Linked DNA regions of Yarrowia lipolytica. The main gene of each other region encodes a partner of the protein of the gene in region 2 in a complex. Links are inferred from orthologs where the notes say so. Each region holds a gene or a part of one and is shown on either strand. Other genes may lie near its edges.

Region 1 (5,353 bases), on a different chromosome or scaffold from region 2:
GAATCGGTTCACGACAATGAAAACATACGACTTTTCTCGAGCAGCAGCAGTGATAAACTCCTTGGCAGAAAGGGTAAAGTGGTTTTCGGCAGAAACGACGAAAATCACAAGATCAATCTCCTCCTGACGAGAAAACACTTGGGTGGTCTGGTACGAGTCCTTGTTGAGTCCCGGAGCGTCAATCAGCGAAATATCAATCACTCCGTTGTGCAACAGCGACTGGGTGATGGGTCTGTTATCTACGGTGTAGATTTTCAGAATGTGGTATCGGTCCACCTCATAGACCAGATCCTCGAGGTCGCCAAGCTTGTGCACCTCGTAGGAGGCCTCCGAGTTGCGGTTGTACTCCATTCCTAGTGGCACCGCATGAACTTCCTCCACATTGTCGTTTTCCCGCGCGTCAATCACCTCACAGAAGACGTTAGTACAGGGCTGCTGGTCTTCGGGCAGCAGATATCTTCTGAGAAGCGCGTTGCAGAAGGTCGACTTACCCGAGTTGACATCTCCGGTAATGAGCACCTTTGAGGCGGTATCGTCAATACGAACTCTCAAGTTGGACAAGTGCTTCATGCACTTTGTGATTCGTGTGTCGATGAGCACGCCTAGGGCTTCCTTGTCAAACTCGTGCACGTCCTTGGACGCTTTGGAGTCATCCACAATGGCGAGCTTGAAGATGTTGAACTCCGAGTCCACGGTGGGCAGTTCGTCGAACCCCTCAATGTAGCTTTGGCGTCTGTTCTGGGGAGCAGGAGTGATGTCTCGGGGGGCCTCGCCGAATATACTAACGTTCCGTAGTAGCTCGTTTCGGGGGTCTTGGATCGCCTGTAGGTCTGGAACCGGTGAGCTGTGTCTGGAAGAGGTGGCTGTGGGGGGCTGAGGGTTTGCCACTGGGGGGTAGTAGACCGGTCGGTCTCTGTTAACGTCCTGGAGCTCCCGTAGGATGCCCATCACGGCCGAGATACTTCGACCTAACGATATCCGGTTCTCATTGTACCGAAGCTGGCTCAGTTGGGCTTGTTGCATCTGGCGAGTCTCGCCACTGAGCCGTCGGTGCGAGCTGTCTGCGGCCTCCAGGGTCGAGCCATCAAACACAATGAGCTTCGACTTGTCGACCAGCTCGTCGGTGATGATGCTGCCGGACACAGAAGGCGCGTATCCCGAGTCATGGTCATTGGACCCTCTTCGGTGGTAGTTGTCGCTGTTGGCGTTGGAGTTGGCGTTGGCGTTGGACTCTCTGTTTCCGTCTTTACTGCTGCTGGGCTCTTGGCCCGGCGGGTAGTCGTACGGGTCTCTGTCGGACATGGCACACACGTTTCGAGGATATCCGTCTGATTTCAAAAGATTTGAGATGGTGAGTTAGCAAGTTACCCGGGAGAGATATTGGGACTGTTTAAGTTAGTTGCATAACTACAGTAAGTTGAAAGTCAACTGAAGAACCACTATAGCAGTGATGGGCAACTGGAAAAGGTGGCAAACAGAGACCGGGAGATCACGTGGGGGGCGGGCGGTCACGTGACCGGAATGGACGTTTCACAGCGCGCCCCTCTCCTTCCGTCCACATTCAGCTTTCTGTACTCTCTTTCTCATGCTGACGCTTGCAGTTGGTATCCACGTAATCAGCGGCTGAGATCAGGTCATTCGAAACAGCAAGGTTTCAGGAACCATCAAAACATGTGACCATACGAGGAGGTTGTTCTGGGGGCGTTTTGAGTCATGTGAGAGAATCAAAATGGCATTATTTGTTGCTAATTGAGTGGATATGGCACTATTTTCGTCTTGGGTTCTTTTTTCCCCCAAAAAAACGCACAATTTATCTCCGTCGGGGCTCTGATCTCGGGCGCATCGGATTTAGCAATGGCCTGTTTGGGCCTAATTTCGAGTTGAGTCGTAATCCCGCAGTGATGGTATTTTTTTTCTCGCAGTGATGTATTTTTTTCTTTTTTCCCCTCTTTTTTTGAAATAAACAATTTAATTGATAATTGCACTTGGGGTAAAGCAGATGTTAGAGGAGATTCGGGTTTTTATTGGTGGCTCTCACAAAAAAAAAATTCTTTTGAATTTTCGTACCTCCGTCTCCAATTAAATTGACCAATTTGCTGTTGATATCGGCTTAGTAATGTATGTCTTAGTTGGAATATTTAGTTGAATGATTAGTTTACTGAATGCATCATATTTTATGTATTGTGTATAAAAATATATATAATATGTTACAGTATATACAGTATATGTTATAAAAAAATACCCTAAGAAAAGTGAGAAAAAAAAAAGAAGAAAAAAAACATTACATTAACCGTGATTGCGGGTTCGATCCTCGAGCGCTAGATTATATCACATGCTCCGATTCTAATAAAACAAGACAATTCCGCCCCAAATATACGCCGTACATACTCGGTGGTATTTTCGTCTCTTGAATCCCCCCATTCACCGCCCCGCTTACATCATGTACCAATCTTCCAACTGAAACTTTTTCATACATACATCACCACTTCACACAACACCACACAAACACAATGATGTCGCTATTGAGACAGGTGCGGCACATGTCGACCGCCGCCAGCGCGCCCAGCGGGTTCCTCAAGGTGTCTGCCGAGCAGATCAAGCCCCTGCTGCTCGCCAACCAGCACATTTTCGCCAAGGTGCACATGCACAACAACGCCTACCTGGTGACCAAGGGCGACCAGATGCGACTGCCTTACCGGTTCAAGGGCCTCAAGGTGGGCGACGTGATCAACTTTGAGCACGTGAGCCAGATCGGCTCTCGGGATCACGTGTTCCAGGGTGACAAGTACATTTCCCAGGACCACTTCAACATCAAGGGCGTTGTGACTGCTCTCACTGCTGAGCCCATGACCACCCATGTTCACCATCGAATCAAGGACAAGGGTTACACTCGGACCCAGCGAAAGGTGCCCCAGACCATCATTCGAATTAGCGAGCTGGAACTCAAGGCTTAGAAGAGGAAGTTGAAATTACGAGTGGAGCGAGTAATTTGGTTCTTCTGCGTTATGTATATAGGAATGCATTTATTGCGTAAAGGAACGACACCGGGCGACACAGGTGCTACTGTCCAACGAGCACTGGCTATCATGTGCAGTTGTGGGTCGTGATCTACAACTGAGATCAGTATGTGAATGGAAGGCAACAATTGAGGTTGTAGTGAGGTCATTATATAGTGGGGGTATCGATAAAGTGTCTGGAGTTGAAAAGTTGCAGACGAATATCTCCATTTGGTATTTTGCTTGGTACGGTGAATTGATGATTGTAGCCATACTAGGTACCAGTGTGACTATGGAGGATGGGGGATCTAAGAGGGTCTAAGATCTAAGGTCTAGATCTAAGAAGGTCTAAACATGTTAATAGAGGTCTCTACAGATGCTGAGATACACGTGTCTAGTCACCATCTTCAATTACCGGTCAAATACTCCCCAATATCTCTCCCTCACTTCGTCACCAAATCTAAACAAAACAGTTGAGGATTTATTTGACTCGGTTGTCCCAGTTGGGTGCGGCTTTAACGAAGAGAGGACGGATTAATGTGGCTGAACTTGCTCCAAAAGTGACCTTTTTGGAACGGGGAAAAACGGAATTAACTCATAACCAGATTTATGACGCTTTGCACTCTTCACTTTCCCCCATAATCTCCTTCAACCCCCTCAACCTCTCTCGTTCTGACCCCGATAAACTTAAACTCCCTGCAAACACGAGACCACGCACTCCAGCATCTCACCACTACTTGTACAGTACAAGCACCCGTACACGGAACCATGGGCGAGTTCCATATCAACCTGATTCCGACGTACGACGACGCTCATAATCTCACGGACGATCTGCAGTCCGTGTCGTCGTCGCCGTACTCGGTGACCGTGCCCAAAAACCGACTTCGTTCGCGCAGCGACTTGTCTGAGGTCGCAGACCGATCTGTGTCCACTGGAGCTCTGGAGCGACTGGTTCCGAACCCAAACAAGATCCGCGTCGACCGACGTGTCGTGAGTGATACCAATGGTGACTCGAATGCCAACTCGGGTCCCAGTCTCACGCACCATCTTTCCCATGCCAATCTTAACACTTACAACAACAACAGCAGTACCAACAACTTGCAGACTCCGCAGAAGCTCAAGTCGTCTGTTTCCTACTCTTCGCTACATCGCACACCCAACAACAACAACTTTGACACCTCGTTCCAGTCTCTGCAGTCCGAACAGTCGTTCCATACCGCGCCGTCTCCAGACGGAGTGCTGTCGTCAAGTCCTAACGAGACCAGACTCAAATTCCAGAAAAGCAGAGACATTTTACGCCAGGGAGCCCCGTCTCCCCTCAATCTCACGCCGGGGAATAGATCTGTGAACGCCACGTCGCCTCATCCTCCGACACCTTCGGCATACTTGTTTGAAAACGACTCCAGCCATAAGAACCAGGAACAGCCGAGTAAACAGAGCCCGATCCAGTACTCGTCGCCGCATCCCATTGGAAACGCCATCTCTTGGAAGGCAGACGAGCCCAATAATTGGACGCTGGACCGTGTGCTCATGTTTCTGGACTTGTATCAGTTTGGCCCCGACTGGGCCCAGACCTTCACAGAACGCAACATCGTGGAAGGGCGGTTCTTGGAGCTCGTGAGCTACCAGAAACTCAAGGCTCTGGGCCACCTTAGTCTGAACAATGGAGAGGTGGACACTTCTCCCTCGAGATTCATTCATATCCTGCGGAAGACGCTTAACAGAGGTACATCCAGTGGCACTATTGACGTTGACGCGTTGAACTCCTCTCAGAGCAGTGATGGTACTACAGGGAGACATGCGGCAACAAGCAGCCCACAAGCGTTTACTTCTCCTCAAATGGGCTCTCCTGTGATCTCTCAAAACTCTCCCGTTCCACATCACTCCCCGGCTCCCTCTGAGCCCCCTCCCCCTCCTCCGCCTCCAACGAATTCTGCTTCCTCCCCCGCCCCGCATCGAAATTCAGCTCCCCCTCCCCCAACTTCTACACCTTCAGCTGTTCAGGCCAAAGCTCACATTCCAAACAGCCCCTCAACTTCGTCTCTGACATCTCCGCTAGTGCCTACCACTTCAGCTCCAGCTGACAAAATCACCCCTCGACCGCTCAAGACAAATCGTCCTCAGCGACCAATGACAGCGTATGAGGGTCTCTACCGCACCATGAAGTCACCCGTATCTCCGTCCGGAAACTTCTTCAGACGTACTCACCATAAGTCGTCGTCGTCTGAGTCTTCCATTTTGGGGGAAGATGGTCTACCAAAGGAGGAAGAGAGAAAGAGTCGAAACCTGTTTTCGAGACTCCGGCGAAGGGACAGATCGTCTTCAAAGAACAGAAACTCGACAATCCCCCCTTCTCC
Region 2 (6,031 bases):
ATTAGAGTTCACGTCCAATATCTGACTGTGCAGTAACATCTCCAAAATTCGTACCTCGACAACATGAGCAAACCAATCAACACTCAGCAATCGCTGCCAGTGGGATCTGCGCAGACCTACTTCAAGAACCAGAGTGTTGTTGCTTACCAAGAAAAAGATTCAAAGCAGGGCGGCTCCTCTGCATCCTCATCTTCACAGTCATCGATCAAAAACATTGCCTGGAACAGTACAGGTACTCGAATTGCCGTGGCATACAGCGATGCGCGAATCCGGGTATGGATTGCCGGAAATACCGAGGTCAACACGTCGACAGAAATCCCATACTCCTCAAGCAAGTCTCAAAAGGCTGTAGTGGGCCTGGCATGGTCTCCCATCAGTCCCGATCAGCTCGCTACTTGCAGTCTCGACGGAACTCTCAAGGTGTGGGACACAAGAACAAAAACGCTGCTTGCATCCGTGAACACCGGAGCCGACAATCTAGCCTGCTTGTGGTCTCCCTGTGGTCGGTACATATCGGTGTTAAGACGAGACAATGCGATCCTGTGGTACGCGCCTTCTTTCAACGGAGAAGTGGCTGAACCAGCACCCAGCACAAACATCGGAGGACGTCAGAATGGAGGAAAGGACTCGCAAAGATCGCGAGGGGCACCCAAGATCGCCATTGGTGCAATGGAAGCGTTTGGAAACCCCATTGCTGCATACAAGGAATCTCCCTACGAAATTTTCGCGGCAACTTGGACAAACACAACTGCTGTCATGGCCATTACAATGGGAATTGGTGTGGTGAAGCTGCTCAAGCTGAATCTCCAGACTGCTGCTACTTCTGAAGAGGTCGAAAAGGTGGTTACTTCTTCCCAATCATTAAGCACGTCTAATGTGACCACTCTGTTTGAGCTTCTAGGACACACAACAGCCGCGAACTGTGTCAAACCTGATCCTCAAGGCCGTTATATTGCTGTGGGTGGCAATGAAGGCATTGTTTCGTTGTGGGATACCAAAGAGTTGGTATGTGTCAAGACACTGTCCAAGCACGACCAACCGGTCGTTTCTCTCGATTTTTCGCATGATGGAGACTACATTGCCGTCGGGTATGACAACAACGATATCCCTGTGGACATTGTACATGTGGACACTGGAAAATTTGTGCATGCTGTTTCTCGTCCGAGATGGACAGGGCTCCCAGTGGTGGCATGGAGCCCGGTGAAGTACAACCTGGCATTTTCTGGGGACGTTGCGGGTCTGAATGTGATTACTGTAGGAGGTAATAGGCCGAGTGGTTACTAGATGCCGAAATCGGGCTGGCATGTGCGACAAGAATCCTCTAGTCATTAAAGCCAGATTTGAAAGAGAGGATGACACCGGAGCAACCAGCGAGCCCTCATACTGACAGATACTGATTAGCTATCGGAGCGTGCGACAGTCACTGGATTTCCCACACCCTCGTCTGCAGCACAGAATATAAAACCAGTACAAGTACAAGTATAGGTACAAGTACAAGTGTATGTAGTATAATATTAGAACCGGATTGCATTCACTAAAACACCACAGCTAGCTACGGTATATGTTACAGTCATAATGTACCAACATACACTACAAGTACTCGTACACTCATTCAATCACTCAATCATCATCCCCCTATATACACATATATACATTAGTCTTTTCCTCGTGTGCGGTCTCAGTTGGTCGGTCGACAGATGCAGTTTAAACCGAGTTGAGAAGAGGATGCAGCTGCTGGTAGTACTGGTCGTCGACCTTAGCCTGGATCTCCTCCTTGGTGAGCCACGCAAAGTCCTGCACGTCCCGGCTGGGCTTGAACTCGCCCTGGACAATGTGTGACTTGACGTAGAACTCTCGCTTGTCGCCGTTCTTGAAGAAGCCCGCGGGGGTGTGCGACACGTTCCAGATGTTCATGTCGGGGCCTCCGAGCTCGTGGATGCCTCGCTTGGCGGCCTCATCGATGGTCTCCTTCTCGTTGATAACGACCGAGGGGAATCGCCAGCCGTTCTTGGTCTGGGCCAGTAGGTACAGGGTTCGGTCCAGCTTTCGCTCCAGTGACTTGACGTCGTTCTGCTTGTCGGCCTCAGTGATTCGGGAGTTGGGCTTGATCACATCCTCCTCGCCCTCCTCGGTGCCCTTCTTGGCGCCTCGAGAGCCCTCATTGTCCTTGGTGGGCACGGCGATCTTCTGGGGCATTGTTCGCTCTCGGTGATTCACCACATCGGGAATACCCTCGGGGTACACTACTCCGTCTCGGGCCTGGGTGGGGATCTTGTTCAGCTCTCTGTACTTTCGCTCAGCAAGAGTACCTCGCTTGAAGTAAAGAAACGAGGGGAAGGTCCACATCATTCGGCGCTTGAGACCATCCATGTACTCGTAGTACTGCTTGGCAAAGGGAGTGGGCTCGGAGGTGACGATGGGGATTCGAGACAGAATCATGCCTCCGGAAATGTTGGCCCGGGTCTCGGCAGTCAGACGTCCGGCCTTCTTGCCGGAGGTCTCTGCAACAGCCTCCTTGGCGGCGTTCCACGCCGTGCTTTTTGTCGAAAAAGCCCGAATCATCTTGAGTATGGCGGGTGAGATATATCGTGACAGCGTATGCAGTGCAAACTTTTGGCGGTTGAAATTTCACAAGGTTAGGGTAGGAGGAGAACGATGCGACAATGTGGTATAAAATGAAGGAGGGAAAATGTGAGTGTGATGTGGTATTGGGCATATCACACATAGTGTAGAATATTCCGTTTTTTAGAAATAGTGTATTGAGAATAACAGCGGTCCAGTGGTCTTATGATTATGTAACGAGTACAACGATCGTACCTCGTCAGCGTTGTATAGTCAGCTGAGCACTAAGTGAGCCATGCAACAACACACGATATTTGTATAGGTAATAAGTGGATCTGAAAGAGATTTTAACATAGAGACTCAGATTGGATACAACATTTCATTACTGTTTCTTCCAATCTGACACCTCCATTACTGCCAGTATGTCATACACTTATTTACACTCAATCACATCACACCTCCGCGTATAAACTTTTGGGTGCGCTTTCGACATCTAGATCATCAACACCAACTAGAAGGACACGATGTTCGGTCTATTTCTTTCCGCAGAGCTCCAGGGAGTCACAGAGTTGGGACCCACGCTACCCTACGAGTTCTCCTTCAAAATTGAGTGCAATTCGTGCCATGAGGTCCACGAAAACTGGGTCACCATGAACGCCCAGGACAAGAGCGACATCAGCGGCAGTCGAGGAGACGCCAACTTCGTCTTCAAGTGCCGCTTCTGCAAGCGAGAGTCGTCTGCCACCCTCACCGAGACAGGCAAAACTCTCAACGCCGACGATAAGAAGCCCGCCGAGATTCTGCAGATCGACTGTCGAGGTCTCGAGCTCAAGGAGTTCCGAGCCGACGGTGACTTCCAGTGCAAGGGCGAGTCTGGCACACCTTTCAAGGAGATGGATCTATCCGAGGGCGAGTGGTTTGACTACGACGAGAAGAACAGTGAGGAGGTGTCCGTCACTGATGTTAAGTGGGATATCAAGCGGGTGTAGTTATGACAGGGTAGAACGCGAGGTATAGATTGATAGATGGTGTTTGGACGCTGGCTGTAGAGTAGATGATGTTTGGTTGTGTAGAGACTTAAAAACTGTACTTGCAAACGAAAAAGGGTAGCTGATATATACGTACTACAAGTAGAATGCAACCTCCAAGGTGTCGATGGAATCTACCTTTGGAGCTCTCGATCTATGGGAAGATGTATGTATTGGACCTGTAATAAAATCATACACGCCAGAGACGATACTTGTACTGGATACTGGTTCATACGATACAACTGCTTACACTCATAAGACAGCAATAGCTTTAAGACACACACATTCACAGAAAGTAGTTAAGGGATAGATTACTATAGCTAAGGTTAGTAGGGAACAACAAAGACAAGAGATGCCATGTTTAAAATCAGGCGACACGAATCGTCATATCCTGGAAACCTATTTTCTTGATTGCGGAATCCAGTTCAGGGGATTGACAGAAGTTTTTCATCCTTAAAGGTGTTGCAAACACAGTGGAACATACCTGAAGTTAGTAAGAGAAGTCGAGACATGTAAAAGATGCCACAAACAAAGCAAACGTCAGTGCTTCTTAGAGGATTGGGATTAATCAGGGAAGGGAAATGCCTTCTCACCCTACTTTGCATCATCTTCCGAACGCGTTCGTGGCCTCCAACATCATCAAAAACGTACCATTTGAGAAAGGGTGGTGTCTTTCAGTCGAAGAGAAAGACACCTTGGAAACCGACAAAAAGACCGATTAACGAGATGACACTTCAGGTAGCGCCAGCTAACCTCCGTGTCACTTTATTACTCGGAGATTCCGTCGTTTTCCGCTCCAAAAAGTGTGGAGTGAAGAAAGTCAGATCAAGACAGCACAGATTTTTATGTACCTTCTACCGGGTAATTTAGTAGTTAGGGTTGCCAACTTAGAGTTTCACAGATGTGCTACAGTGCAAACTACTATCGAGTCGGAGCGAGATCTCTAGAGAGTTGTTAAAGGCAATGGATGTATGAATTAAAGAGGGGGGACAATTATGAAGTATATAAACATCTCACCATAGACATCTTGGCTCATTGGAATCACCTATAGTTGTTGTGGCTAGTACGCAGGTAGTTATAAACCAGTTGTTATTATAACCTATACCATTAGAAAGAGGAACTCCAGCTCTTCAAAATTAGACCAAATTTCACTATATTAAGAGCTTTTATTCTGCTACTACAACATTCTTTTCTGCCTCATCCCCAAATCGCTTAATAACAAACCTCCCAAAATAGGGTTAGGGCAGAAATTATTTTGGATGTTTTTCAAAAATATACATACCAGGAGATAGCGATATTGGCGATACCTTCAGCTCGAAAACTGACACAAACATCTCGTCAACATGAAGTTCCTCACCAGCAATTTCGTCCAGTGTGCTTCCAAGCAATGTGTTTCTTCCGGAAACGCCTTTCCTCTGACCTTCTCTGCTCTGGAGATGGTCCAGCAGGAGGCTGAGTTCGATCCCGAATTTCTCGTCAGCATGCTTGAGAGAATAGATTGGGCTGCTCTTGTCAAGGTCGCAAACGATGTGAGTATAAGAGGTGGAATGAGGCGGAATTATGAGTATAGGAACGGTGACAGAGCTTTGAGAACATGAAGGTGTATCAAGGAGAGCGTGTGACTGATCCTGTGCAACTAACAGACGCTTTGAGAGTGCTGTTGTCGACGGGCGGATTCGACACTTTCCATAATGTATACGGGCTGTTTCTGAACCGTCAGTGGAGTCTAGACGTCCAAGATGGTCGAAAGCAGTCTCAAAGGCAGCCGCACAGCCAACGGATGGACTACGACAGACAGCTCTGAGACGGCAGCAGACATCATAGGACGTTTATACGTGGTTTATGGTGTCTAAATCGGACTACGAAGTCTAACATACCGTCTATACTGTCTCTAAAATGTTCTACTAAATGGTCGGTGTTCATAGACTGGTACAGGCTGCATTTATGTCGTGTACAAAAGTTGCCTACCGTCTACATTTCCTATGAGGGACCTACTGCCAAGTACCTTTCAATACTAATTATAGCTCGGAAACGAATCTTTACCAGATGTCAAGCCCGAAATCGACGAGCCGTTCGCTGAGGGAAACCAGGGTCTGCTCCAGGAGCTGCACTCCCTACTTATCGAGACTTGCATTGTGGAGGGCACCATGAAATGCGAGAACTGCGGCCACACCTACTTCATCAAGAACTCCATCCCCAACTTTCTGCTTCCTCCCCACCTTGCTGCTTAGGTAGAAGAAGACATTATTTATGGATGGGCAAGACAGACAAGAAAAATAACGTGAGTGCAACTCACAAAGCATGTAACAATATATATTAGGTAGAAAAGCAGTTCGTGATTGTGCATACAAGAAACGGTAAGACAACGTAGGGATAAAATGCATATGCTATATAAATACTATACTGTTTCGCCGTCACCACGGTTGCGGCTAATTGCAGAA
Region 3 (5,416 bases), on a different chromosome or scaffold from region 2:
AGAATATACCAAAGTAGCGGTATAGTGGCAATCAAAAAGCTTCTCTGGTGTGCTTCTCGTATTTATTATTTTTATTCTAATGATCCATTAAAGGTATATATTTATTTCTTGTTATATAATCCTTTTGTTTATTACATGGGCTGGATACATAAAGGTATTTTGATTTAATTTTTTGCTTAAATTCAATCCCCCCTCGTTCAGTGTCAACTGTAATGGTAGGAAATTACCATACTTTTGAAGAAGCAAAAAAAATGAAAGAAAAAAAAAATCGTATTTCCAGGTTAGACGTTCCGCAGAATCCAGAATGCGGTACGCGGTACATTGTTCTTCGAACGTAAAAGTTGCGCTCCCTGAGATATTGTACATTTTTGCTTTTACAAGTACAAGTACATCGTACAACTATGTACTACTGTTGATGCATCCACAACAGTTTGTTTTGTTTTTTTTTGTTTTTTTTTTTTCTAATGATTCATTACCGCTATGTATACCTACTTGTACTTGTAGTAAGCCGGGTTATTGGCGTTCAATTAATCATAGACTTATGAATCTGCACGGTGTGCGCTGCGAGTTACTTTTAGCTTATGCATGCTACTTGGGTGTAATATTGGGATCCAGCATGAAGCTATAGGGTTCATTTACTGTAGTGTATATTACAATGTACTTGTACTTGTACTCGTACCAATAACCTTACAAATACGAGAACCGGCACCAGTACGAAACTCATCAGACATGTCCGTAACTCTTCATACGGATGCCGGTGATATCAAGGTCGAAGTATTTTGCGAGGCTGTACCGAAGGCTGCAAAAGTGAGTGGCACTGTGACAGTGTGGTCGTGCAATTATTAACACAGAATTTCCTGGCCCTGTGCGCGTCGGGCACATATGATGAAACAAAGATACACAGGAACATCAAGAGTGAGTAAAACCACACCATACAGCCTGAAGCGACGTTCTATTATGTTAGGTGCCATTAAACCTCTGAGAGAGTGACTAACGCAAGCATTCATGGTACAGATGGGTGATCCCACAGGTACAGGCAAAGGCGGGGAGTCGATTTGGGGCGGCAAATTTGAAGACGAAATCAAGCCGACGCTGCGACACAACTCCAGAGGCATACTCTCCATGGTCAACTCCGGCCCCAACACAAATGGAAGCCAGTTCTTTATAACTTACGACAAGCACTTGAGTCTGGATGGCAATTACACTGTGTTTGGGAAAATGATCGATGGTGAGGACGCTCTAGTGAAACTCGAAGGAGTTGAGGTAGACAAAAAGAATCGACCAGTCGCCCCTGTATTCATCAGGAGTGTGAGCATTCACGCGAACCCATTTGCACAATAGCACATGGAATGGAGAGCAAACACCGTACAGCCACACATCCCTAACCTATCACGCAGAGGGCATGGTCACCAAACTACGACCCAGTCACAGTACAACGAAATACAAGCATCCTACCTCTTCACATCTATAATTAACTATGTACAAATCATGGCTTAGTCATCGGACTTCTTAGGCTCCTTGCCTCGAGGCTCAACGGCTCCTCGTCGGGTCTTCGTCTCCTCGAAAAGAACCATTCGTTTAACTGAGTTAGTAAACTGGCGTGGTCAGCTCTCTGGGACCACGATCTCATGGAGACGATCACGAGAAATCGAGCGTCCAGTGCCACACCCACTAGCCGATGCTGCATCGCGACACCACTGCGATCACCTCATCCACTGCAACGGGTCTCAGCCCTCGACAGCCTCATCTTTCCAGTAACTCACCTATAGGGTCATACTTCACTTGAGTGATGGGACGAGCCACACGAGGTCGGAAAACGGTTCGCATGACACCGGTTTTCGCCGAAGAAAAGAGTTTGATGACAGTGTTCTTGCTTCGTACTGTGTTAGTAAAGCAGGGGGAGGTTTCTGTGGGCGCCAACAATACCTACCAGCCATGTTGTGTTCTCTTCTGATCTGATGTCAAATTCAAGTGGTGGTTCAAGATGCGTGTGATAATTTTAAGCGGGATTAAGGTTACATACCAGATTGGCCTGTTTGTCATCACGGACACAACTCAAAACCACCAACACAGAACATGAGCGGTCATATTGGGAAGATATCTGGGAAGTTGTTTCTTGATGGGCAATTTGCTACGTTGGCCGATCTAGAGTCTTTGGACCAGCTTGAATCCGAGCTTCTGGAGAAGGAGGAGCGGTTGAACATTGACATCACTGAAGCACACAATGAAGCCTCCAGTTTGCTTGTACAACATGCACAGGCAGTCCACGACTCGGTTGAAGAGGGTGACAAGAAATCAATCATTGCGGCACTGGAAGACCTCAGCAAGCATGAGCTGGTCGACACCAACAAGGATGTACAGACTGCAATCAAGAAAGCCGAGAACCTGGCATCCTCTGAACACCACATCGGCAACCTCCTGTCTTTGCAACAAAACTACAACACTTCAACGGAAACCGATTCAAGTGCCAGGATCAAAAGCGCAATTCAAGAATATCTGGAATTGAACCGCAGAGATGTTCCTACTGCGGTGGAAGCTTTACATAAGCAATGGAGGAAAAAGCTTCAGAGGTCCGCGCACACTGAGCTTCAAAGACTTTCGCAGGAGGCAGAAGAGGAGCTGGTGAACTGCCAGTACCCTTCAAAGGAGTTTCAGCCATCAGAACGGCTGCTATCGACTCTAGAAGAAATGATATTCCTTGACAGCTCTCTTAGAACCCAGTCGACAGCTGACCCCCAAGGGGTGCCGCTGCAGGCTTTCTTGGTTTTGACTGCGCCTTATGATATCAGATTACGGTTCCATTTCGAAGGAAACAAAGATACGAACCAACCTGACAAGCCTGAATGGTTTTATTCTTACTTTCTAGACATTGTTGAGGAGCAGGAAAACTTCTTGCAGGAACACATGCAACCTCTGTTGGGTGACAGCGACAAAGTAGCTCTCAATGAGTTCATCTGTGCATTGATTCCATCGGCAATCCGCAAAGCCTCGGTGTTGTTCGATGCTCTCCGTGATACATCTACAGAGCTATCCCATCTCCTCTACGAAACAGTAGTGTTTGAGACCGCTCTTAAAGAGCGTTATTTCTACAGCCCCAACAGAGGAAACTGGGTGGGAATTTCAGGGTCTATTCTCACGCCTTCGAGGTTTGATATTTGGCTCAATGTTGAACGAAATTTTGCGGTTTCGCGGTTTCACGCTATTATTCAGCTTCCCGACGCTTGGGAAATTGACTTTGATGGCGTGGAAAGAGGTGCGACCAAACCAACGAAGAGTGCGCTAATGGTCAAAGATCTGCTGGAGGGTGTCACTGACCACTACAGAAGTCTGGCTAGTGTCACATACAGACTCAAGTTCTTGATAGGTATTCAGACGACAATTTTGGATCTTTATCACGAGCAACTGCATGAACAAAATCTGCTTCTGGAATCGAACATATCTCTATTGTCGAGGGCTCTTGTGGGAGCCGCTGATAAACAGAAAACGGGGGGATCAGAGGGTATCTGGAGGGTGTGCAGAATTTTTGGAAGTGCGAAGTTCATGATAGAGACCCTCCAAGTTTGGGGTGAGGACGTCTTTTTTCTGGAACTTTGGCGCGATATAACCTCTCTCAACAACTCCTCGCGAAAAGAAGGTGGTATCGACAATGATGCCATGCAGACCTCCGCTACGCTACCCACGGATGAAAGCGACGAGGGAACCCTGTTCGATGACACCATCAAAGGATATACGTCTTTACAGGACCGTGTGTACCAGACTGCAAAGGCATTTTTGGAGAAGCGAATGCAGGATGGAATGAAGGAATACTTCAAGCTGAACGACTGGTCCAAGAACGTTGATTATCCTGACCCCGAAAATGTGCCGCCCAGCTCCCAGCTGTCTCTTCCTATTCAGACGATGGACAAATATCTTGGAATTATGAGGAAGTGTCTATCTGCAGAAGACATGTATCAGATCCTCAAGGACTTCTCAAAGGTTTTGTCTGAGTATTTCTCTCGACAAGTTATCATGGTGAATACATTTTCTGCAGCTGGTGGCCAACAACTCATAAGTGATGTCCGAGAAATGTGGACTCGCCTGGGGTTGCCGCAAGACCAGGAGTATCATAGAATCTATGAGAGTGCTGGACTGCTTTCTAGTAGGGATTTCAAGCCATCACACCTTGATGGTGCCACAGTGAAATCAGTCGTCAGGCGAAGGGCATGACAACATAGCTTAATATACACGAACACCATTTACACCACGCAAGTTCAACTTGAGAAGCGCATTGTCTTTCTAATCTATGGAGGTACCTACTCCACCTTTGGTAGCTAAGTTAGTTTCCCCCGATTCAGGCCAGCATCAGTCGGCTGGGCTCTTCTTCGCTGTCTTCGCTCACAGAACCGTAGCCCAATCTCTGCGAGGATGGGCGGTGGTGATTGCTGTGCTCGCGATGATGATGATGATGATGATGATGACGATGATGCTGATTGTGGTAGTGGTGGTTTTGGCTTTCTATGCCTCCTGGACTTACTTGGAAATTACTGTCGTTGTACCAGACGTAATGCTGTAGCATGAACATGATGTCGAAAATTAACGTGATCTGTGTTAGTTGAGAGAGCTCTGCAGGTCTCGGTAGAAATCAATACTTACCAATGATAATAGAAGCTTTGGCACATTCTTGAAGATACCCTCATAATCGTGATTGATATAACCATCCAAGATTAGCTGTGCCAACGATAAAATGCCTCCTCCGAAATCACACAAAATGGAAACAATTGACCATCCCTTCGTGGACTTACGTCGGAAGTTCCATAGAAGTTGCGGGAAGTATTTACTGGTGCTCATGAGAACCTTGACGGATCCTGTGACATATGTAACATCCAACCATTGTAGTCCAATGCTGGGGTCCGAATTGCCGAACAGATACACAAGAAGCGCCGTTCCGAGTGATATTCCGATACCGAAGATTAGCAATGATAGGCCCCATTTGGACAACCGCTGTAGTGGTGATCGACTAAAGCCCCAAAAGTACACTTGACTGAGTGTCAGGAGGGTGAGGAAGCAACCGTGAATGCCAAACCACACGTCGTTGAGACGGACGAGTGGGTAATGTTTAACACCCGAAGGATCAGAATGACGTGCAGCATATTGCTCCCGAATTGTGTGATTGTAATAGAGGAGCACTGTTGATATCGTGTAGCAAATGTACCCAAGTGTGTTGAGGTAGAGAAAATCGAGTGAGATACCTTCCACAGACTTCAATTTGATGTTCAGCAAGATCGGAGGATAGAAGGAGAAGCTCCATAGTGCAAAATACGTCCACCCAAGAACGGATGACACTATGACCAGAAATTGCATCACGTTGTGTGCCTTTCAGTCGCTGTTGCCTGTGGGTGCGGGATAGTGTTTCTAATTGTGGATTTGTGGATTAGAC
Region 4 (5,663 bases), on a different chromosome or scaffold from region 2:
CTGATGATGTGTGTTGAAAGGGACAGGGCTTCCAGAAGGCTGTCTGGGCTGGTTCAGCTTCTTCTCTGGAGTCGACGTGCCCCCGGCGGCATGCAAAACGTCTTCGGGGATGCAATAGCTCTCGCTGGCGACGGTGTTGAGCGTGGAGGACGAGTAGTTTGGCACCGCTCTCATGAAAGCTCTTCGGCGCTGTTCCGACATGACAAAGGACTCATCACGGGTCATTTCGTAGTGCGACGTGTCGTCGGCGCCAATAACGAGGGCGGCTCCCACGGTTTGGGCCATTGGTCGTGATGGCATCTTGGTTGGGGTTTACGTCTCGTCTCTTCAATCTGCTTGTGATGATTGACACTCTCACTGTTTTGGATTCAGAGCGCGAAACGCGCCTTTAGGTTTCAAATGCGATGAACAGAGTTGGTTCCCCTACCTTGAATCGCTGGGTGTTAAAACCAAGTCGTATAAACCACCCTGGCAGGTGTTGAGAGAAGAATAGGTGAGACTCGTATGTAGTATGGGAGAGAGAGCTCAAGAGGCATTATATCATATAGCAGGTCTGGCACTTGACCTGCAGCATCGCATCCTGCAGGAATCCATCACCTGGGTCTTAGATTATTATTCTCCTTCCCATGCAATGTTGTGGTTGTATTTTGAAATGTTATTCTGAGACTTCTGTCATACCCTTTTGAGAAGTCGGGGTTGGGGTAGCCCAGAACTTGCCCAGAACCTGAATAGCCATTTGGGTCACGCGCCAAGTGCAGCAGTCATGCACTAACGTTTAGTTCCTAAAATTTCAAGTGCGTTTTTCAGGCGCAAAAAATAAACTGACCAAGCTCTATAATGCAGCGACTATTGAAAAAGGCACTGAAAAACAGCGCAGCGGGCGAGGCTGGAGCACCACTGGAGCGCACCGACACCCGCTCCTCGCACGAAACGCTCTTTGACGACAACAAGTCCGCGGTCTCCACGCTGTTTGAAACCCCTGAAGGCGACCCGCGAGAACGGGATGTCTACAGCATATACTCGGCCATGTTTCGACATGGAGTGACCGTTTTTGACGATGGCCTCAAAAAACCCATTCTGTCTGTGTCCACGCATTTCTTCGGCAAGACCTACATGGAGATTTACCGGCTGGACGATAAGCAGAGCCCAGGTAGCGAGGCTGTGTCAATGTCTGGAACCGAGTGCTACAAGTCGCTTCTGTGCAGTGTGACACAAAAGGTACTTGACAACGACCGTATCGAGTACATTCTCACCTTTGTGGACAGCGAGCGGGACAACATCACCATGGTTACCCATGGAACCAGGCGGGTGACTACAGCTTCTTACGAAGGCGTGCAGTTGCAATGGTACGGAACGACGGGCATTGCCAACACTTATGGCTCTGGATTCTTTCATCTGCGGCTTGTTGACACCGAACATACTGAGAGACAGGGTAATGTGCTGCCAGACTCAGACACCCTCTGTGGTCCTTGCATAGGAGCCTACAGTTATCTGACTGAGGGCAGACTGAAGAAGCAGCGCCGGGTTGGCGAGTTTAGCATTTTCAATGGTGGCACTCATCTTTCCGAGGTCATCCTACTCATGGGACTGGTTCTGCGAGAGGGAGAGATGCGAAAGATAACGGAAAGTACACGAGCTGCCAATGCTGTCACCAGCAAGGTGTTTTTGTAAACTGAGTGATGAAAACGGCATGGTTGAAACAATAGTTTGGTAGCTACCGTGATGAGCTCCGTCTCTTGCGACAACCAGGATAGCAGCTTGGGCGGGAAAAAGAAGAAGAATGTGGATTGTGGTGGCTTTGAGTGCCTTCCGCCGATAATGTGAAACGAATTTTTATTATTAATGAGTAAGACAGACAGACTAATATATCTGAATACTATGGTTGGTTGCCTAGGGTTGTGTGGATGGTCGTTCCCGTTCAGCTCATGGCCGAATCAGGTATACTCGCTTACATAATCATTTTGGGTTGCATACAGGCATCTCGGTGAAGCATGATTTTCGACTTTACACTCGACCGTCACAATGAACTCCTTTGCCCCGGAATGCACTAAAGCCAAGAAGGAGTACGACAACTGCTTCAACAACTGGTACTCGGAGAAGTTCCTCAAGGGAGAGTCCATGGAGAACGAGTGTGCCGATCTGTGGCACGAGTACGAGGATTGCGTCAAGGTGAGTAGGGAGAGGGAGAGGGCAGCCTGGAGATGAATTAGGATCGATTCAGGAGATCGGTACCCGGCGTACCACTCACAGTATTTACTAACCCAGGCCGCTCTTGCCAAGAAGGGTGTTGGAAAGATGATTGACGAGGCTCGAAAGCAGGCTCCGTTTGAGAACGGCGGCAAGCTCGTGGAGGAGGATGAAAAGAAGAAGTAAATGTATATATTAATTGAACGATTCTGCTGGCCAAGATGTGAAAAAACGAGTTTCTCACTTGTATCAAGTCTGTGTTAGTCAGGCTTTTCTCTGTAAGTGTGCAAGGGTGTCTGTGAGTTACGGGTGAATTTTTTTAAAATCTAGTAAAAGGATGAAGTTCGACAGATTTTATAGGGAAATCTAAACACTTTCTAACGATTTATAAAAAGTCCTCTCGCCGCAAGAAGTCATCGGCCACCTTCCAGTACCCCAAACACACCTGTGTAAGTCACTGCAAGAAAACCTCGCCACGTGACAAACAAGGTTTTGCAAAATCGTCGGTTGGAATATCAGACTCTATCACCACACATACACGACCATACAAAAATGCTGTCTCTGATTCAGTCGCTACGGCCGACTGTGGCCATGAACAACGTGGCGCAGATGTTTGTGCGAAACACTTGCAAGTCCGCCCATGTCAAGACCAAAAAGGCCGTTGCCAACCGAATCAAGATCTGTGGTAGTGGAAAGATCACCAGAGTGAGTGCCACAAGGATGGAGAGGAGGGGAAATAAGGAAAAAGGAATGCTGGGAGCGACTCCGATCAAGCCATGATAGAGTGGATAGCTGATATTTCAGTGCCGGAAAAGTTTTGCCTCTGATCTGATCATGGCCTTATGTTACACAGCTTTCAAGCTGAGATGATTAACTGTTTCAGCAGCTAGAAGAGATACCAGACACGGAACTACCTGTCACAACCAGGCTGATTACGCACACTGCGTTTTTTTTGTTTTTTTTGTTGCTTACCAGGCACTCAGATCAAGCAAGACACTCATAACCTCTTGTAGCTGAACACATCAACAATGACAACTTCCAGATCGCCACTAACTCAGGGAAAAACCGGACGAAAGCACGGAAACACTGGATGGTCCGCTGCTCTGCTGCGAAAGAAGACCGGTATGACCGAGCTCACCGGTTTCCAGAAGAAGCATGTCAAGAAGTACGTGCCTTTCAAACAATCCCCTTAATGTATATAGCAATTAGAACCCTCTTGGATGCACGAGAAGTCTGTACAGTACAGACGGATACAAGTTCGTAGTGCACGTACCGAGCTGTTTAAATTAATTGATGTATTTTTCTGTATAAGATGTAATCATTGCATACTCTGCAAATAATAAATAGGGCGCGCGGGGTTTAGATCACGGTTTTGATGGGACAGCTAGGCCGTGGGTAGGTACAGCACTTGTACTCAGGCCGTGGTGGAGACGCGGTACTGCGAAAGTACCAGCGATATGAATGTCGTAAGTATCATACTACAATTGTAGCAGAGGGGGGTTACTGGCCAAGCAACAACCAACCAATAAAATAGACACCATAACCCATCATTTCAACAGCATCCACAGGGTTAAGGCTGGACAGACCAGAGTCCCACTCAATGGCAGACTCACGAGGAGCATACTCTTGTCGATCTGAAGAGGGCTCGTTGGCCAAAAGACCGACATTTTTTTCAGGCACAAAAGGCTTGAGCTCCTCGCCAGTCAACCAATAATGGAGTCGATCTCCAAATGCTGAGGCGTTGGACTCGCGGTTGCACTGTTCAATCACGCTTGTCACTAATTGTTGTTTGTCGGCGTCACAGATATCGAGCATTTGTGTTTCTTGAGAGTGTTTTCTGATTACAGCGGACCCAGGGGCGCTTTTTTGATTATATATAGCCTTACAGCCTTTCAGAGACTTTCGTCGCCATGCAACAAAGACAGGACCAGTAAGGTTGTTGAGTGCACGTGACCTCGGGTCCACGAACGTCATGGGGCAAAACAAGACTATTGCAACATAATTATAAGGGGTAGATGCAGCTTGCGAGTTCCCCTCCTGCTTGCTACGTGCCAGTGCAACCTCTGGCGTGTTATTCTTCCACATTTGCTCTTTGTGGCGACCAGTAGCGTGTAATAAACATTCTGGGGTAACTGTAAGCGCTGATATGGAAATGTACGATACGATAGGGTATGTAGGGTCCATGTAGGGTCTTACAGATAGCTTCAACAAGTACTCGTACCAGGCGCGATACTGCAATAACAGTGGATATTTCTCAACAAATCTACTGTAGGTGACACACACACTCACGTCTGCGTCTCCACATGACAAGCATCACTGTTAATCTATGTTCCACTTGATTATGGCTTTTGCCACCAGGTCTTGTTGGGTCATGTCTTGTGTACTTTTAGCTCTCCATATAATAAATATATTGGGGTAATCCTCAAGGTGGAGAATGTGGGGTGCCTGAATACATGGAGTGAAAAGTCGTGTGACCAGTTGTCGTTGGCAAGATGATAAGATCGGTGATGAGTCCGAGCACTTAATTGCGCGGTAGTGTATTGTTCTACAAGTAGCACAACATGTCATACTACGATTACTACAGCCTCACTCCACACTACATAACGTACAGTACTGTACTTGTACCCGTGCCATAGACTACAAACAATAACACCTCTGTAACTAAACATGCAATCTATACATTTTTGGGTCTCTATTTACTCTTGCTTTTCAGCCTCGTTCACCTGCTCCTCGACATTTTCATCGCTCTCCTTGACTCGCTTACCGTCCTTATAACTGTATCCAACCCACTCATTGCCCTCCTTTTTGATCTCCGCCGTGGGGAAGTAGTGGTAGTTCATCTTCATGGAACACGCAAACGCCACGTTGTCAAACGTGACAATACGCAACTTGACGTAGGTATTGTCAGGGATCTTGGTCACCACAGACAGGAACGTCTCCAGATCAGGAGTGGCGGTGCCGTTCACGTGAGTGATGAAGTTGGTGGGCGCAATCAAGTACTGGTAAGCGGGAGATCCCTGGGCTCGACTGGACACGTAGACGCCCGAGTGGATCTTTTTGATTTGCTGACGAACAGCATGGTGGGGGGTCTGCAGAACAGCTCCGCACCAGAAGACGGCCTGAGAGGTCTCGAAAGCCGAATCCGTGGTGGGAGCCTGGATCTCCTCCTCCTTTTTGTTTCGCACCAGCTTGATGGTCACCTGCTCCTTGTCGCCGGCCTCGCTGAGCGTTGTCAGGGTCGTCAGCAGCTTGCCGTTGATGGACAGCAGAATGTCTCCCTCTTTGAGCGCCTGGGAGTTGCCATTGATGGGTGTAGCGGTTCGAATGACCTCAAACAGCTGGTGTCGCTGCGAGTTGTCCTGCTCAACGGCAGCAATCCACTCGGGAGACACGCCTCGGATTCGAGCCTGGATCATGGACACAGAGGCGATCTCAACGTCCAGGAACCGCTCCTGGGGAGGCTTTCCGGCTCGGAT

Evidence for each region.
Region 1: YALI1_E29617g (region 2) and YALI1_F12422g share a complex: the UniProt entries of both Saccharomyces cerevisiae proteins name them as parts of the mitochondrial large ribosomal subunit. The link is inferred for Yarrowia lipolytica from reciprocal best matches to the Saccharomyces cerevisiae genes MRPL17 and MRPL49.
Region 3: YALI1_E29617g (region 2) and YALI1_C21634g share a complex: the UniProt entries of both Saccharomyces cerevisiae proteins name them as parts of the mitochondrial large ribosomal subunit. The link is inferred for Yarrowia lipolytica from reciprocal best matches to the Saccharomyces cerevisiae genes MRPL17 and MRPL39.
Region 4: YALI1_E29617g (region 2) and YALI1_F39183g share a complex: the UniProt entries of both Saccharomyces cerevisiae proteins name them as parts of the mitochondrial large ribosomal subunit. The link is inferred for Yarrowia lipolytica from reciprocal best matches to the Saccharomyces cerevisiae genes MRPL17 and MRP35.

Annotation. Positions count from the first base shown.
Region 1 is NC_090775.1:1,239,363-1,244,715, reverse strand, and holds YALI1_F12422g (mitochondrial 54S ribosomal protein bL21m), read left to right. Parts: upstream 1-2,510; coding exon 2,511-2,954; downstream 2,955-5,353. Other genes in the region: YALI1_F12434g (uncharacterized protein), read right to left, coding at 1-1,302; YALI1_F12430g (uncharacterized protein), read left to right, coding at 1,522-1,604, 1,652-1,925; YALI1_F12365g (uncharacterized protein), read left to right, coding at 3,765-5,353. UniProt on the Saccharomyces cerevisiae protein: Component of the mitochondrial ribosome (mitoribosome), a dedicated translation machinery responsible for the synthesis of mitochondrial genome-encoded proteins, including at least some of the essential transmembrane subunits of the mitochondrial respiratory chain.
Region 2 is NC_090774.1:2,958,212-2,964,242, reverse strand, and holds YALI1_E29617g (mitochondrial 54S ribosomal protein mL46), read right to left. Parts: upstream 2,563-6,031; coding exon 1,705-2,562; downstream 1-1,704. Other genes in the region: YALI1_E29642g (uncharacterized protein), read left to right, coding at 64-1,284; YALI1_E29611g (uncharacterized protein), read left to right, coding at 3,087-3,551; YALI1_E29586g (uncharacterized protein), read left to right, coding at 4,934-5,119, 5,615-5,821; YALI1_E29557g (uncharacterized protein), read right to left, coding at 6,020-6,031. UniProt on the Saccharomyces cerevisiae protein: Component of the mitochondrial ribosome (mitoribosome), a dedicated translation machinery responsible for the synthesis of mitochondrial genome-encoded proteins, including at least some of the essential transmembrane subunits of the mitochondrial respiratory chain.
Region 3 is NC_090772.1:2,161,881-2,167,296, forward strand, and holds YALI1_C21634g (mitochondrial 54S ribosomal protein bL33m), read right to left. Parts: upstream 1,938-5,416; coding exon 1,931-1,937; intron 1,881-1,930; coding exon 1,764-1,880; intron 1,583-1,763; coding exon 1,494-1,582; downstream 1-1,493. Other genes in the region: YALI1_C21626g (uncharacterized protein), read left to right, coding at 730-807, 852-915, 1,001-1,341; YALI1_C21639g (uncharacterized protein), read left to right, coding at 2,077-4,206; YALI1_C21664g (uncharacterized protein), read right to left, coding at 4,331-4,582, 4,633-5,340. UniProt on the Saccharomyces cerevisiae protein: Component of the mitochondrial ribosome (mitoribosome), a dedicated translation machinery responsible for the synthesis of mitochondrial genome-encoded proteins, including at least some of the essential transmembrane subunits of the mitochondrial respiratory chain.
Region 4 is NC_090775.1:3,915,612-3,921,274, forward strand, and holds YALI1_F39183g (uncharacterized protein), read left to right. Parts: upstream 1-2,739; coding exon 2,740-2,892; intron 2,893-3,245; coding exon 3,246-3,380; downstream 3,381-5,663. Other genes in the region: YALI1_F39159g (uncharacterized protein), read right to left, coding at 1-300; YALI1_F39164g (uncharacterized protein), read left to right, coding at 838-1,671; YALI1_F39176g (uncharacterized protein), read left to right, coding at 2,023-2,169, 2,266-2,373; YALI1_F39199g (uncharacterized protein), read right to left, coding at 3,688-4,371; YALI1_F39236g (uncharacterized protein), read right to left, coding at 4,884-5,663. UniProt on the Saccharomyces cerevisiae protein: Component of the mitochondrial ribosome (mitoribosome), a dedicated translation machinery responsible for the synthesis of mitochondrial genome-encoded proteins, including at least some of the essential transmembrane subunits of the mitochondrial respiratory chain.